3 linked regions of the Caenorhabditis elegans genome follow. The protein of the gene in region 1 interacts with the protein of each later gene in a pairwise test. Each region holds a gene or a part of one and is shown on either strand. Other genes may lie near its edges.

The links.
Region 2: the proteins of ifb-1 (region 1) and Y56A3A.7 interact in a two-hybrid assay, tested with the Caenorhabditis elegans proteins (one large-scale study listed by BioGRID).
Region 3: the proteins of ifb-1 (region 1) and frh-1 interact in a two-hybrid assay, tested with the Caenorhabditis elegans proteins (one large-scale study listed by BioGRID).

What each region holds. Positions count from the first base shown.
Region 1 is NC_003280.10:5,763,638-5,771,888, reverse strand, and holds the start of ifb-1 (Intermediate filament protein ifb-1), read right to left. Parts: upstream 6,272-8,251; 5' UTR 6,248-6,271; coding exon 6,115-6,247; intron 3,668-6,114; exon of another isoform or gene 3,544-3,667; intron 2,945-3,543; exon of another isoform or gene 2,929-2,944; coding exon of another isoform or gene 2,889-2,928; intron 2,791-2,888; coding exon 2,540-2,790; intron 2,243-2,539; coding exon 2,121-2,242; intron 2,076-2,120; coding exon 1,287-2,075; intron 1,177-1,286; coding exon 975-1,176; intron 928-974; coding exon 820-927; intron 363-819; coding exon 198-362; 3' UTR 1-197. UniProt on the Caenorhabditis elegans protein: Cytoplasmic intermediate filaments provide mechanical strength to cells. Essential protein, involved in attachment structures in epidermal cells that connect muscles to the external cuticle. Required in morphogenesis and epidermal integrity.
Region 2 is NC_003281.10:11,943,928-11,948,934, forward strand, and holds the start of Y56A3A.7 (Homeobox protein cut-like), read right to left. Parts: upstream 3,093-5,007; 5' UTR 3,083-3,092; coding exon 3,041-3,082; intron 2,985-3,040; coding exon 2,874-2,984; intron 2,830-2,873; coding exon 2,737-2,829; intron 2,490-2,736; coding exon 2,211-2,489; intron 2,137-2,210; coding exon 2,040-2,136; intron 1,178-2,039; coding exon 922-1,177; intron 1-921.
Region 3 is NC_003280.10:5,915,246-5,919,156, reverse strand, and holds frh-1 (Frataxin, mitochondrial), read right to left. Parts: upstream 1,736-3,911; coding exon 1,525-1,735; intron 1,479-1,524; coding exon 1,382-1,478; intron 1,131-1,381; coding exon 1,028-1,130; 3' UTR 593-1,027; downstream 1-592. Other genes in the region: Tyrosine-protein phosphatase non-receptor type ptp-2, read right to left, coding at 1-196, 251-379, 426-445; cgt-3 (Ceramide glucosyltransferase 3), read right to left, coding at 2,509-2,676, 2,725-2,856, 2,900-3,223, 3,274-3,494, 3,549-3,784, 3,836-3,911. UniProt on the Caenorhabditis elegans protein: Promotes the biosynthesis of heme as well as the assembly and repair of iron-sulfur clusters by delivering Fe(2+) to proteins involved in these pathways.

The sequences.
Region 1 (8,251 bases):
TTAAGTGAAGAGTCTTAAGCAAATCAATTCAATATTTTGGTCAGTTTTAGGCAGTTTCAATGAATCAATTTAAAGAAAAAATGTCGAGAAGGTCTATCATCAAGAATAATAAGAAAATTATGGACAGAAACTAGAGAACTTGAGTGATTTTGGGGAGTTGTTTAAAAGAGAAAAAGTTGTTTAAAAATAATGAGAGCTTATTGTCCGGATTGGATGGTCTTCTGGGTGTGTGTTGCACGCTCCTCTCCATCCTTGTTCACCAATGACGTCACAACATTGGCTCCGATTCCCCAGGTGTTCTCTCCATCGAAGACAAGAGACTCTGGTGGGTTGTTGATGCCTCCTTGGTCACGGGCGTAGATCTGGAAATTTATTGGAATTGGAATATTCTCTTTTCGAAATTATGTAGATTAGTTTCTCAGCAAATGCGAGAAACCCTTAGACTAACCCGAAACGATTAAATTTCATAATGAGACCTCTCAGAAAATGTTTCCAAATTTCTTATGGTGGCTCAAAACTTGGGGAAAACATTTTCAAATTTCTAAAACCTGTAACTCTGATAAAGAGCATTAGAGAAATAACAACTGATTTTCCGATATTGCTACATGGACAATCTCACAAAATTTCAGATTTTAGCAAAATTTGGCCATTCCCTTTCAAAATTTTTTTTTTGGAAATTTTCAGGTGAAAGTACGTTTTTAACGGGCTTCAGACTATGTTGGCTGGGTTTCTCAAAAATATAGTGGCAGACTAAAAAAATACTAAGAATATTTACATAGCTACACACTTTTTTCTAAAACAATGATAAAAATAACTTACGGTCAAGTTCTTTCCTGGCTTGATAACAACATTGGCTGGAATGGAATAGACAATTTCGCGTCTTCCATCCAACTTTCTTCTGATTTTGTGCTCACCAACATTCTCATCCTGAAATAAAATTTTCAACATTTCAAAACCAAAAAGCTTCAACATACCTTGTTTCTGTGCGAGTTCTCAAGCTTGATGAACTTTCCATTTGGATCACACTCGGAAATTGTCACATTTCCCTTGGCGGATCTTTGGAAGGTGGTCTTGGTGGATACCTCACCGCGAACTGATCTTGTCGAATCAGTGTTTTCTTGTTGTTGGAGAGAATGCGTCTTGACGGCTTGCTCAACCATTTGGGTGAGTCCGACTCTGCAAATATATTTTTGAAACTTTTGAGAAAGGTTTTAGAACAAAATGATAACAAAACTGCCCAAAATTTGGCTTGCTGGGAATATTGATTAAATAACGATAATAATTACCTGGTCTCTTCTCCCTCGAGCATTTTTCTGTAGATGGCAATTTCGGCGTCAAGCATTTGCTTGGTATCCAAAAGAGCTTGAAGCTCAGCAACCAATGTTTGGCATTCCTCACGCATTCTTCTCAATGTAGCATCTCTGTCGTTGAGGGCAGCTTCGTATTGTCTTTGATCGTCGGTCAATTGGTAGTTCAAGTTCTGAACTTCCTTCTCCAAAAGTGAGTTCTTGTTCTCCAAATCTCCCAATTTTCCGCGGAGATCTCCAATGTTGTCTCTCATTCTCTTGACCTCATCCCTCTGGTAGGTGGACTCCATATTGGCACGGTTGGCAGATCCTTGAACCTCGGAAACCTTGAGCTTGTACCAGGACTCCATGTCTTGCTTTCCTTGCTTGGCAATGATATCATACTCATCTTTGATATCACGGATGGCAAGAGCCAATTCGTTTTTGAAGAACTCTCTGGTGTCAGCTGGAGCCTGAGCAAGGAGAGCTTGAAGTTCCTTAACCTCTTGTTCGTGAACTCTTCTCAAGAATTCGAGCTCCTCCATCAAAGTCTGCACTTGATTTTGGAAGTCAATTCTGCCAATGGTCTCATCATCAAGATCGCTTCTGGCCTTCTGAAGTTCTTCCCAGATTCTCGAGTTGTCAGCTGTAACACGCTTCTCCTCATCTGTCAATTGCTTGAAACGAGCACGGAGCATCTCAACTTCGGATTGAGCATCAGCGATAGCATTGGTCCATTGGGAGATCTTCTCGCGATCGGACTCACGGCGTTGCTGGATATCTTCGTATCTGAATAAATATTGATAAGCAACAGAAAATTAAGAATAAATAAACCTGGATCTGTACTCAGCCAAGTCGTCACGGTGTCTGGCAACTTTCACATCAACCTCTGCCTTTCTACGAGCAGCATCGTCAATGTCCTTACGAGCTGTTGAGAGGGATTCGGAGTATTTGATCTGAAATTAACAATTTGAATAGGAAAGAAGCTTTAAGAAGTTTGTTCCAAAATATAGGTTGAAATTTTAAAAAAACACTGGACAGGAAGCGCACAGATTTTCTTCTGGTAAGTTGAAGATTTTAAGGATGTTTGAGAGAATTCTCTAATATAGTAAATAAAATCTTGAAAGTTTCGAATATATATCTAAATAGAAATTACTGATTCACAATCAAATAATAAATGTTTTTTCTACAACTACTTCAGTTTTTTGCTTGCAGAAGCTTGCTTAAAATTTATTTGAAATTCACTAAAATACCTTAATCTCGGATGTGTCTTTTCCCCATTTTCCGCGAAGCTCATCCAAATCAGCAACCAATTTACGGTTCTGCTCTTCGAGTTTCTTGACACGATCAATGTAATTTCCGAGACGATCATTGAGTCCCTGCAGTGTCTTCTTTTCCTTATCAGTCGCCTCAAGGAACGATTTTGCTGCGTTTGCGGACAAGGCCGGTGAAATTCCTCCGACTGTAGCTGATCCCATCTCTGTCACCATCTTTAGCACGCGTCCTGAACGTTTTTATAATGATAATTAGGAGATTAGATTTGATTTGAGTGTTTTTATATTTCTATTGGGAATTTATATTTCGATATTCTTCTATTCTTACCTCCTGACATTGGTGCCTGTGGCGCTGATTCAGCCTCCATTTCTGATGTGTTTTAGCTTGAAATTTTAAAGTTTTTCTAGAAGATTAAGGGAAAAAAAATAATGAGGAACAAGTTCGAAAATTTCTGAATGAAAAATGAAAAACAAATGGTATAGAAACTAAATGTAAGTGTCACAAACACTATGCAAAATAACGGAAACCGTCGACCAATTCTGACCCTCTTCTGAATACTCCACCCAACGAAGAAATAGCATTAAATTTGTGGAGAACTTAGAGAAAAAGAATGAAGGTGTGTCAATGGTTTTGCCTTCCCGATCATCACCGATGATAGAAAATGGAGAAAGAGAAGAAGATATAATGGTGATAAGTTGAAGACAACGGACATGTACACATACGTACAGATTGCGAGTTGACTGTGCCTATGAATGAATGGATAAATTGGAAGAAAAGTGGAAAGAGATCAAGACACTACTTACTTAGAAATTGAAGATGAAGAATACGTCAAGGTTGTTGTGGGCGGAGTCAACTAAAGATAATCATCTTGATCAGATCTCAATCATTCATTTTTGTTATCTTTTTTAAATTGCGGGGAAGCTAATTAATTTAACTAGGATTCCATTTTTGACATTTTTTGGTAAGGGAGATATTTTTGTTTCAGAAACTAAATCTAATGGTAGGAAGGCTTATTTTTAGGCCAACGTACCTGTTTTATTTTTGTCAATTTGATAGAAATTCAATTAAGAAAAACATCATTTCCAGTCCTCAAAAATGTTTTTAAGTTTAAGAATCTTGAAACACGGGCCGCAAAAATTGACTTATCTCAAGTTAGAACAAAATTGGTTAAAAAATTAGTTTTGACAACTTAAATGTAAGATGGGACATTTCTAATTGAAAAAAAAAACTCTACACCATCTTGCAATAAATCGGAGAAATCCGAGATTCTATCCGAGAAGATCTCATAAATCAAGTGATAATCAGTATAATAAGTTCTTGTCACTGTTCCACCCAATTCTCACTCATTAAAACTAAATGACTAATCACACATAAAAAATGGGTGTTTTCCATGTCTCAGTTTCTCATCATTCAAAATAGTCACATCTTGGGTGTGGTCATTCCTTCCTTTCTCACCTATTTCTCATCTATTTCGTAACTGTATTCTAAATTAAAAGTTATTCAGGGGATTCTTTTAATTTTAATTCGTTACCCAAAAAAAAACAAAATTAAAATAAATGATGAATAAAATCAATAAAAGCTCGGATTTCTTCAAAGTCCGTCAAGTTTTCAAGTGTGTTGAGCAGTCAGCCGGCTGGCGGAAAGTGTGCCCAAGAAACAACAAACTAAACATTTTGTTGACTTAATCGGCTCAATGTATCTTTTTATACATGTTATCTCAACTGGTTACGAAAATTGAAATATTGTATTTAAAACTGTCTGAAATTTTGGTGCCTCTTTCAATCTGTTATTTGCTTTTTGCATTTTATTTCCAAAAATGTTGCCATTTTTATGTATATGCATAGTTGAAGACTATTTGCCTAACAACTCTTTCTGTCATGCACTATAAACTTGATGGAACTTGAACTTTTAAATTCAATAGATTTTTGGTTTGAAAATGAAGGGCGTTCCTCAGTGATTATGCTAATTGTGAGACTGTATCGAGAGACGAGAAAACCCAGAGATTTATGGGATTTTTTGGATGAGAAAAAGTGGATTTAATGACGGTTGAATAGGAAACGATATGGGCTGCCGGAAAAAAATCTTGTGGTCTTATATTTTGATCTTGATCTCCAGATTTGCTTAAAACAATAAAAAAGAACAATTTTTCTTTTGTTATGGTAATGCCTGCCTATTTTCTATTTTCACAGTGAGTTAACTTGCTCAAAGAACAACTAAAAATTACAAACATAAAAGATAACTTGTGTTTAGGCAGCAGATACGTGCGTAGGCTTACGGCAAGTTATAAGAAGCTAATACTATGTAGTAAGTTTACGTACCTAAATCTCTGACTTAACAAACAATTTTCAATTTCAAATTTTTACTGTTAAAAACTGTTTTTAGCTTTTAATTAAATATATTTCGACTGCAGTTTTTGAAGTTTTAATTATCCTGACATTTTATGCTAAAATTGCCAATTTCAAATTTTCCCCATTTTTGCCTCAAAACTCCAAAAATATTAATATTTGTTTAATTTTTGAGGAATTCCCCCATTTATTCACAGAAATTTCACTTCATAAAAACCTGTTTCTAGATTTTTGTTAAACTATGAAAAAGTGTGGTTTCTTGCCAAGTGAGCAAATATTAAGAAAACTCATTAAATTAAAAATTGCATTTAAAGGCATAAAGTATTACTTTTTATCTTTTAACTTTTATAATTTCGAAAATAATTGATTTTAAGTGATATTTTTAAGCAGAAGATTTTGGATCAACTCCGAGTAGAAAAAATGTAAAATCCCTGCTCAAAATATTATCCTCTACCAAACTGTTCACCTTTCTCAAAAACGTTTCGTTTAGCCAAGAACAAATCAACGCGTTCGCACTGATAACGACTCTTGCTCTCTTTTTCTCGTTTTTATATTTTCTTTTCATCCTCCAGGTCTATATTTCCATCCTCATTTCTATTGTATAGCACAGCAAAAACCAATATTTACTTCATCTTCCAATTGATTAATAAAACCACCCAAACTATTTTTTTGCAATCGGATGAACGAGAGAGAGAGAGAGAGAATAAAGTGTTCGGTTCGATTGATGCGACTGTTCACTAATTCGCTTTGAATTCAAATACATAATTATGGATGGGTAGTAGACGGATAAACATGTAAACAGAGAAATAGAGAAAGAAAGGAAAAAAGAATATTGGAATATTGGTTCAGTTAATAGTTGATCGGATGTATAGTGTCAACTTGAATTAAGGTCATCTATAAGACCGGTCCAGGAGAAAAATAGCTTGAAGGTTTACTACTTTTGAAAAAATAAAAGTATATTCTGAAACTCTCAATCTAACAGGAAAGTATAGAAAATACGTTGGAAATTGAGTGATCTCTGAAGCTTAGACTTCAGTAGGAAATTTTTTTAAAAGATATATAACTATCCGGATTTCAAATCAAGAATTTGAAACAAGAAATGCTCCTGGTATTGATGATTATTTTCAGAGGAAAGGATATAGTAATAGCTGAAATTTTTTTTAATCTTTACCGTTTTCAACTTTAAATTTTTTTAAAATCTAACTAACCTCCGGATCCTGCTCCATTTCCACCAGACACGTAGTTTCCAGACTGACGTGATTGAGAGCGAACCGCTGTTCTTGGCTGGATGGTGGATCTGTATTGCATCTCGTACTCGGAAGATTCCTTGTGAGACGACATCTTCTTTCAGAAGTTTGACGCTACCTGAAATTTTTTTTTTGAAAATATAGAAGCTGAATTGGGAAAATACAGAAAACTGAGCAAAAAGTAACAATTACAAATTTTAATAAAAAGTGTTAAACCTTAAAACAACAATATGATAAAAAAAAATGTTTCTGCATCCTTCGGCATCCAATTTGTTCCTTATCAAAACCCAAATAAGCGTGGCCGGTTTTCAACAAACATACACACTCATATATATGTTCAACATTTTTTTGAGTACACTCCACAAAAAAACAGAAAACAAATAAGGTGGAGGAGGAGTGACTGAACACGCCCATTTTTGTTCATGGAAATCAGAATTGAATATGGGTGGAAGGACATGATGGTGAGTCAACGTTAACCTGTCAAACAAATTGAAACACCCAAGCACATTCCGGAGAATTGTTAGATGGAAGAACAATAGAGATTGAATTTCTCGCGCATTGTGCAGGGAAATTTGCAAGAATTGGGTGGAAAATGACGAGAAAATGATGGAAGTTAAATGATTTTATTCATGATTTTTTTAAAAGATTATCTTGATTTTTTTTTATTTCTGCAGACTACAGTAAATGCTTCTTATAATTGTTTTTTTCGAGCAACGTGAAATGATCGCAAAATAATAAAAACCTTCTAGGTAGGCACGAAACCTACTAGAATTCACAGGAAAAATAGGATGCAACCAAGTACGAAAGCCGGCAAAAAGGAATGATTTCATGCCTATCTCCTTTAAAGACTTAATTGTTCAGATCTGAAAAACTTTCTAAAAAAAGTGGGACAGCGAAATTTATGTTGCATTTTGTTTCGTAAAGTTTTCAACTTTTATGAATGATTTTGAAAATGAATTGCTGTTTTTTTTTTAATTTTAGTATTCATATTTTCATACCTAAAGCTTGTTGACTCAAACTTAAAATCATAATAAAACTAGCAAAAGATGTGAAGAAACATGTGGGTGTTCAGTGAGTCATAAAGTTGGAAATTTATTGAGTAATTGTATGACCAAGTTCTAATTGACACTACTTGAAATCCTAAACCATTCGGTTACTCATTCACGATAGTTTAGAAAGCTTAAAGTAACTTTGGGGTGGAGTGAATAAAAGTAGAAAAAGACACAGTGCTCCTGCTCTGCTCGGAGTAAAAAAGTGAAGCGAAAAAAATGAAATCGGAAAGACACACACACACAAGCATTCCTACAGAATACCGAAAGGGTATTGTGAGGACGGTCTGTTGCGCCGGGGGTCGATGAGGCAGAGGCCCTGAGAAGCGCCCCCACCAATTGCTCCGCCCCCATTTTGTTGCCGAACCGTCGAAAAACGAGCTGCTATTTGCGTTCCTCCTTCTTTTTTCTCTCTGCGCGCTTCACTTTTTGAAATGATGCGCTTGGCGTATAGGCGTATTCCGAGAGAATTTAGAAGAGATGACGACTACTTTTACCTCATAGGAAGTGGCCGATTATCACAGTCAAGGACAAGAGAGAAATGATTTGAAATGGAAAAATGAGGAGATGTTAGTGAGGGAATTGGAAGAGGGGGAGAATAAGACATTGTTAACATTTTGTTTTCATTTATGGGTGAGAATGATGACAAGATTGGAGGTACAAGTGATCAAATAGTTCTACGAAAATGTTCCGTGCTGGCTAAGGTTTTGCATTTTTAATGTTGGGCTGTGGTAAAAAAATTAAGAACTCATTGTCAGTAAACAAGTTTTGTAAACATTGAAACCTGTAAAAAAATAGTTTAAAATTATCGCCGTCCAGTACTAAAGCTGAGGCATACCGTATTTTCCCTACAAAGTCTGCACCACAATTACTCTACTTTGACGGCCTATTTTCCAATTGTCTCAAGTGTTATCAAAAAATTCTCTACAACCAAAATATAGAGACATATTTGGTACATATTTGGTAGTTGACAATTTATTGATAAAATTTAAAGCAACCGAGATATATTCTGCCAAAGTAGAACCAGAAGATACAAGTCTAATAGGAAG
Region 2 (5,007 bases), on another chromosome or scaffold:
TTCAAAAGTTTAAAACAAAATTTTTAGGATTTTTTTTTTCAAAAATTTTTGGATTAAAAATACAATTTCTGGATTTTTTTTTAAAGGATTTTTTCAGAACTTTTAGGAATTTTTTTAAAATGAAATTAAGGAATTTTTCTTTGATTTTTTTTGGATTAAAAAACAATTTTTGGAACTTTTTTTTTTAATTTTTGGTTTTTTTTTCAATTTTTTGGACCAAAAAACAACGATTATCAAATTTTTCAAACAAAATTTTTAAAATTTTTTGTCAAAAATTTTTGGATTAAAATTGCAATTTTGGAGTTTTTTGTGGATTTCTTTCATAATTTTTTGAATTTAAAAATTAATTTTTGGAACTTTTGGAATTTTTTTTGATTAAAAAAGAGTTTTGGATTTTTTTCAAAATTTTTGGGATTTTTTATGGATTTTTTATGAAATTTTTTGGATTAAAACGTTCTGGATTTTTTTCAAAAATTTTGGTTTTGTTCGGGATTTTTTACGAATTTTTAGGAATTTTTAAAAGGAAATTAAGGAATTTTTCTTTTCTTTTTTTTGGTTAAAAAAAACAATTTTCGGAATTTTTCTCAAAATTTTTGGGGGTTTTTTAAAAACAAAATTTTCAGAATTTTTGGTTTTTTTTTGGATTTTTTAAAGAATTTTTTTGGAATTTTTTGGAATTGTTTTTGGATTTTTTTTGGATAAAAAACCCATTTTTGGAACTTTTTCAAAATGTTTGGGATTTTTAAAATATATTTTTTGGGATTTTTTTGGAAGAATGTACAACGATTTTTGTAATTTTCTTCCAAAATGAATGGTTTTTTTTTGGAATGTTTTCAAAAATTTTTGCACTAAAAACAACGATTTTTCTATTTTTCCTAGCTTTTTTCATTTTTAAGGTCTAAAATCAAAATTAATGCTAACTTCTCCATTTCTTTCTTAATATTCTCTCGAATTTCCTCTCTTCTCTTCTCCTTTTCCTCATCATTCAAATCAGGCTTCTCCTGAGTCTCCACAATCACTGGAACACGTTGATTATCATCTAAAAGAGCTTCTTCTGCTGCCGGATCGATTTCTCGATTCTCATCAGTTCCCAGTTGAAGTCCTAGTTGAAGACACTGCTTCTGGAGCTCTTTGAGCTCTTTTTCTTGCTTTGTAGTCGTTTTTTTGAGGGCCGCCACTGGAAAAATATATAATTTTTTATTGAAAATTGGAAATTTTTTCCTAAAAAAGAAAAAAAACGCAATTTTGAGAAAAAAATTTTTTTTTCGAAAATTCGGAATTTGTTTTAGAATTTTGTATGAGCCCATGTTCCTTTAAAACTCGTGTAGATTTACGCAGGCCGCGTGTACTCCACGTGGACAACTTTGAATTTTTTTTTTCAACATTTTGAGCAATTTTTCGAAAAATATAGTTTTTGGAAATTTTGAAAAATCAAAAAAAAGTTTTTAAAAAAATTTTAAGATTTTAAAAACTGTGTTATTTTCCGGAAAATCGAATTTTTCGGAATTTTTTTTTTGAAAAATCTGAAAATTTTTAACTTCTGAAAATCCTGTATAAATCACTGTCTCCTTAAAATTCGTGTAGATTTACGGAGGCCGCGTGTACTCCACGTGGACAAGTTTGAACTATTTTTTTTCAACATTTTGAGCAATTTTTCGAAAAATACAATTTTTTTGTTTGAAAAAAATTTGAAAAATCGAGAAAATATTTTTTTCAAAATTTTAAGATTTTAAAAATTGTGTTTTTATTTTGTTTTTAGCTAAAAAGTAAAAAAAATAGCCAAAATTTTAAATTTTTTCCGAAAAAATTTCTTTTATTGAAAAATCTGAAAACTTTCAACTTTTTAAAATCCTGTATAAATCACTGTCTCTTTAAAACTCGTGTAGATTTACGCAGGCTGCGTGTACTCCACGTGGACAAGTTTGACGTTTTTTTTTTTTCAGTTTTCTGCTAAAATGCTTGATTTTTCACCATTTTTCGCAGTTTTTTTTTTGCAAAAAAAATTCGTTTTTCGTAACCAATTTGGTGAAAATTATTACTTTTATTAATTCTCTCCATAACCTCGGCTCGAACTTTCGTCGCTACGTCATCCAAATCCTTTGCCTTTTTGGCGCGAACCTCCATCATAGCGCTCTTCTGAATTGGAATAATATTGATTTTTTGCTCAAAATTCTTTTTTTTTTTTTGCTCAAATTTCCACCAAAACAAACCTTCCTCTTCGTCAACTGAAGCCTCTCGACGAGCTTCTCGTTCAGCTCAGACGCCGCCACCGCGGCCTCGGAGACTTGTTTTAGCTCGAGCAGCGCTTCCTGAAGCTCAGCGATAACCTCACTGTTCGCCTGCTCTTCTGGAGTCTTTTCCGCATTTTCGTCTTCTTCCGTGGCGTCTTCCTCCTGTTTCTCCTTCTGTTCTTTCAGTTTTTGAGCGTCGTCCTCGATTTTTTTCTCGAAATCTTTGGCGATATCGAGGGTGGCTTGTTCGTGAATTCCCTGGAAAAATTTTTTTCATCAAAAACCCCGGAAAACTGGAAAAAAATTCACTTTTATTCATCAATTGTTTAAAAAATAATAAAATAAAGTTTGTCTGAGAGGACTACACTGCGCGGGGGACTAGAAACCCACCTAGTCCCCCACGCCGTGTACTCCTCCTGGACAATCGAACAAAATTATTTTTAATGGAAAATTGTGATTTTTCTCGATTTTTTAAACGAAAATTTGTCGAAAAAAGCAAACTCACGACAATAGTCTTCAAAATATCCATATACTGAGCTTCTTGTGCCGAAATCGAGTCAAACGCGGCCAAAAGTAGCTTCATATCTTCTTTTACAGACTGGAAAATTCAAATTTTCAGTTTAAAAATAAAATATTTCGCACCTCATTCTCCTGTGGCTTTCCGACTCCTAATTCGCGGAGAGCTTGCGCGATTTCAGCCTTTTTGCCACGAATATCCTCGATGGATTGCATGATTTTCTTGCGTCGGGATATCTGGAATTGAGGAAAAAAAAAGTATAATTTCAGCAAATTTCAGCTGTTTAGAATACCAAATTATCATCCATTACTTGTGGAAGTTCGACGGAGCTCATGATTGGATCTGGAAAAATTAAAAGTTAAAAATTAAAAATGAAAAATTGAAATTTGAAATTTTGCAGTTTAAAAAAATCCAAATATAGTCTGAAATTCAGAAAAACCAGAATAGAAGAACGAAAAAATCGGAAAAAAAAACTAGATTTTTCAATTTTGGCTAAATTCCCTCCAAAATGAGAACTGCGACCAATCAGCGATTCGCTCCGCCCATTTTTAAACCAATCAGATGAAGTAGGCGGAGTTTGAAGTTCTTATTTTGAAGTGATTTTAGCCAAAATTGGAAAAAATCGCGTGGGCTTAAACTTAGTTTCAGGCTTAGGCTTAGGCATACACTTAGACTTAGGCTTAAGCTTAGGCGTAGACTTAGATTTAGGCTTAGGCTTAGGCCTAGGCTAAGGATTAAGTTAAAGCTTAGGCGGGGGAAAATAAATTCTCGGAAATTCGAAAAACTCCGGAAAAATTGGAAATTCCGAAGTCGGGTCAAAAAAACTAATAAAAATGGCCGAAAAGGGACTAAAAAATACAAAATTAAAAAAAATAGTGTAAAAATATTTGACAGGAGCTCCAAGAATCAAAAATGTTCAGCAGCTCGCCAAAATTCGAAAAGTACACACACACACACACAAAACTAAGCACACTGAAATAGAATGTCAATAGAAGAGGCGAAACATACACACACACGGACACACTATACTTCCACAATTGATCGAACCGTAGGCGACGACTGTACGGACGGAAAACCTATGCCTCTCTTTCTCTCACCGCACTGTACAATCTCTCGGCCGAAATTAGTCAGGCAAAAAGTTGGCGGGGTGATTCATAGCGGAGGAAGGCAACGCCCTATTTGGGTTGGTGTGGAACGGGGGGAGGGGAAGGTCCTCCGAGAGGTAATAGATATGGATTGAATTGAATATTGAATTAGGGGTGTTGATTTTAACGAGAGCCACTGATACCGAGAGTGTAATTAGAAATAAAATTCTATTAAATTGCCTCAAAATTACAAAATGATCTCTAAATCTGAAAACTTGTGTCTGAAAATTATGTGCTAATGGGTTTATTCAAGTAATGTTGCAAAATGTATTAAAATACATGTATTTTATGTATTTATTACAATTGATACGGTATTTTTCTACACTTTTTAATTTTTCGACACTATTTCGGTAACCCCATAAATCCTGTTGATTTTGCATGCAGCGACACACTTTTTTATCAGTAGCATTTCATATATTTAATCCTTTTTTTTAAGTTAGGCTAGTCGTTAGCCAAAAATTGTCAAAAAAAAATCACACCGGTCGTGGTCGCTCAAATTTTAGCTCAAAAAGTGGCAACCTTAATACAAAAAAAAAAAAACTAATGTCACTGATTTTAGTTCAATTTTATCCTGAATTTCTTGAATAAAAATGAAAGAAACACGATGAAATGTTTTCTTTCATTAAGTTTCTGATTGAGAACAACAATTTTATAAAAATTGTTTAATTTGTCCGGCTAATCCGGCAAATTTGCCGCAAAAATTCTATAGTTCCCTAAAAGTTCGACGACATTTTCTAAACTACTACTAACTATAGTCTTAAACGCCACACTATCTATTAAAGGTCAGTGTTATTAGTTTTAATGATACGAAATTTATACTCATTTCGTTCTATAAGCAGAACTACACCTGATTATGAGGAATACAATGATAAGAAATTCAAATTTTTTTTGCGTTATACATAGGAAATAAATAGGCTTGTATATTTTTTTCAGCTTTGCACCAAAAAAAATTTAGAGTGACTGAATCATGTTTTAACTCCCGTTCTAATGAAAAATGTGAAGACCAGGCATTTAAGTTGTCGGGAACTTAGAAAAAATAAACGAATAAGCAGAATTTCCAACAAAAAAAAACGATCAGGAATTTAAAATTATTTTTGGTTTTGGCCGGAGATTC
Region 3 (3,911 bases), 150 kb from region 1:
CACATAAACAGGTTTTTTCAGTTCAAGAAAGAGTCCATTCTTCTCCCTGAGTTTTTCTGGAAACTCCATGTAGAATTCGGCGAGTTCGGTGATGGAACCGAATTGATTTGGCGTAGTCCGTTCATCTTCGAAAATACTGAGCATGTCGCTTTCATACTTTGTCACCTTGATATGCAGAATTTTGTCTTCGGCGACTCTGAAAACGATTTCCGAAATTGTATTAATTTATTAGTGAATGACTACAACAAACCTGACAGAAATCGAGAAATTTTGCGGATTTGATTCGCTGTATCGAAGAAGAAAATCTCCATCTTCGCCATACTCTTTGAGCAATTCTTCGGCCTTTTCACCATTCACGCGGTAATAGAAGTTGTATTGTCTGAAAATTCGATTATGAACTAGTTAGAGTATATACACGATCTTACCGCAGCGCTAGGCGTGGCATTTGTTTGAAAAGTAGCAAAGCTCCAAGTAAAAATGACTTTTTTGTTGTAGATGGAGAAGAGTCGCCTAAATTTGAAAATTTTATGAGACGATATTAATCATGTTTACAGAAAGACAACGCAACCGCTTGAGATATCGGTTTAAAAATCGGAATAATACGAATTTATCAACTAATTAACATTTTAGAACATAAGGAACATAGAAGAACATAATAAATTTGGCACAAACGTTCAGAAATTGTAAAATTCTCATTTTGGAAATTATGCGAGAAAATTTGGTTATCTAACGACACTCCGAAATAACGAACCGCGCGTTGTTTAACGTAAATCTAGAACGGAGACTCTACGGAAAAGTTTTCGTGAATCTGAATCCGTCAGCACTTTTTGATAATAATCAGAGATTTTTCCACAGTTTCATTTTCATTAAACGTATAAAAAACGCTTGGGCAAGAAAAACTTTACCAGAAAAGTATCTAGACAATATATAACTAAGTTACAATACATGAGAAAACATGATACATCAAATATGCAAGAAAAAGAGAAAAATCGAGAGAGAATAGAAATCACATGATATGAAATCCGGATTAGACATGTCGCGAGAAATCGATTCGGTCATCGGCCAGAATCTTTCGGAATTCTCTGTTTAGAAGCGAGTCAAGTTGTTCACCATCGTGTGCATAAGTCCATCTGAAATCAAAAAGCGTTAATTTGTGCTCATCCTCTCCGCCTCTTTTCTGCACTTTACGCAATAAGACACTTGCATGTTACTCATCTCGGCTTAATCTCATTTGTCTGCAAACTGATATATATCTAAATCTTCTCTTTTGATGTTCGTGAAACCTTTCGTTACACGATCATCTTGATCATATTCGGTCTAGTGGAGTTGTGCTTTTGATCAAGATATACAATTTAAATAATGAAAATGTGTTTTTACTAACTTTCCCTCCTCTTCTAAATCATATCTTTTCGGACCAGACATCGGACTGGACAACCAAATTTGCTTATTTGGTGATTGTTTGTTAATAACATACGTTCCTGAAATTAAGTAATTAATTTAAGAAATACAAGAACCATCTCGTACCAACAGATTTCGATACATTAACAGTCAAAACTCCCATTGCATGAGATACATCAAATTGTTCGGAAACCGGAAATGAATCGGCAATTTGATCGAAATAGTCTGATAATCTTTCTAATGTTGAATCAGCTGCTGTTTCGTACTCATTTTGACTGAAAATCCGGGACGAAAATGAGCGACGTACAAAATTGTTTCGTAGAATAGTGGAGAGCATCTGAAAACTTTGTTATTCTGAATATTACTCATATGCGAAATTATGTGGTATTTGAGCCGAAAAAAAGGTCTCGACACGACAAATGTTATTAAATGCAAAAAGGTGTGTGCCTTCAAAGAGTACTGTAGTTTCAAACTTATGTTGCTGCAGAATTTTTATCGAATTTTTTCCAACGATTTTTCAAAAGTTGAGCGTTTGTATTGTTATATGTGAGTTTTTAGGATGAATAAATGTATTTTTGTCGAAAATATGAAAAAAAAAATGATGACAATCTGGCAGGAACATAAGTTTGAAATTACAGTACTCTTAAAAGGCGCATAGCTTTTTGCATTTAATGTTAAAAATTTAATGATGTGTCGTCGAGACCGGGTACCGTACTTTTAGAGGAAACATCGCAAAATTTCGCATCAGGGTAATAGTATTGTTCGATATTTGTATTTATGGTGATATAAATTACATAGTTGGAATTTTTCTGAACCTGAGCTTCATATAATCGTAAAATTAAGGAAATCGAATCTGAATATTTTATTAGGCCATCGTGTATGTATTAATAGCACAGAAGATGGTATTTCAGATGTCACCCGTAATGTGAGACAGTTAGCATAGGAGAGTGAAGCTAACAATGTAACTGATGGAGAGACAACAACCCGGACTTTAAAGATTCAGATGATGTAGTGAGAGGATTTACGATAATGTTGAGAAACAGAATCACAGACAAGAATGATGAATTTGGGGTTAGTGAAATTTGGAAATAAAATGAATAAATGAAACAATCAACATTTTGGTGGAAGTATCTGTCCACCCCATGCCAAATGAAAAACATTGTTTCGCCATTGAATTGTTGGTTGTAAAAGAGCTTTGATAAAGACGAAAGGAGCGGTGAGCTCACGCAAAAGCCAAATGAGCATAAATTGAAGTGGAGAGAAGCTCAATTTGCCATTCTGAAATTTGAAAAATGTTGATGTATATTTTATTAGAAAATATATTACCTGCATACTGTTCATTAGCGAGTAATCCATACTGAACCAGTAGATAGTATGAAGTATCAATATTGGCATTATATTCAATCCTACCAAATGATTCAAACTGAATGCCATGATTAAACCAGACGGGAAGCAATCCTATAATATTGGAGATTTAAAAAAAAGTGAATTTTGGAATTACCTGCAATGGCTCAACGAGAAGAATGTGTGGCAACATGGCAATCCTTAACTTGACCCATCTGCAAATTCTATCGAGAAATGACGAAACCGATACTGATGATGAGTTCTGGAGAGCTGGGTGAGATGATATTGCAGATTTGTAACCACGATTTGCGAGCTCTCTTCCGAAAAAGTAGTCCTCTGCAAGATATCCTCCAAAATTAGAAATGCCACCACATTCATCAAGTGCTTCTTTCTTCATCATTGATGACATTCCCGTGGAACAGACAAAGTCCATACAATTTCCAGCTAGGTATATACGTCCATGAGAAGTTCCAAAATACATCTAAAATTTAGAGCTCTTATAGATTTCTTTCTAAGGAATCCATGTTCTACCTGCTCAAAAGCCGCATCGAAACCTTCTCGATCCTTACAATACGGTGTCTGTGTCACTAATGCCATTTTCTCATGACTCATCATCGTTGTGGCCATATCCAAAACACCATCTGAACGCATAAATATTCCACTGTCACTAACTAATATCAGCGGATAAAGTGCAGAACGATACGCAGGCATCATGTTGTTGATCTTTGGATTCAGTCCAACGGTTTCACCTCCTTAAAAAAATAAAAGATTTTAAGAAAAATGTTCCAGAAAAGCAGTTGACCTACCAAAGAAAAGTTTCGCATCAACCTTCGGATATTTCTTCATGAGACACTTCACAACTTCCACAGCTTCATCATCTGAAGAGTTGAAACAGAACAAAAGTTCATATTTGTGATATTGTGTGGTGAAAAATGATTCTATATTCTCGTATAAATTATTATCTTTTCCAACAATTGGTTTAATTATAGAAACTCCAGGAAGCGATGAATCTTCTTTCACTTTGTGATGTAATCGATATTTTCTGCAAATCTCAAAAAACTTAAAACCCCGCTTTCTCAGACATGAAGCTTACGAATAAGACAATGCAATAATGTGAATAAGGTAGAGGCAAAATACGAAGACGAAGCCAACGATGGCAATCAGTGTCG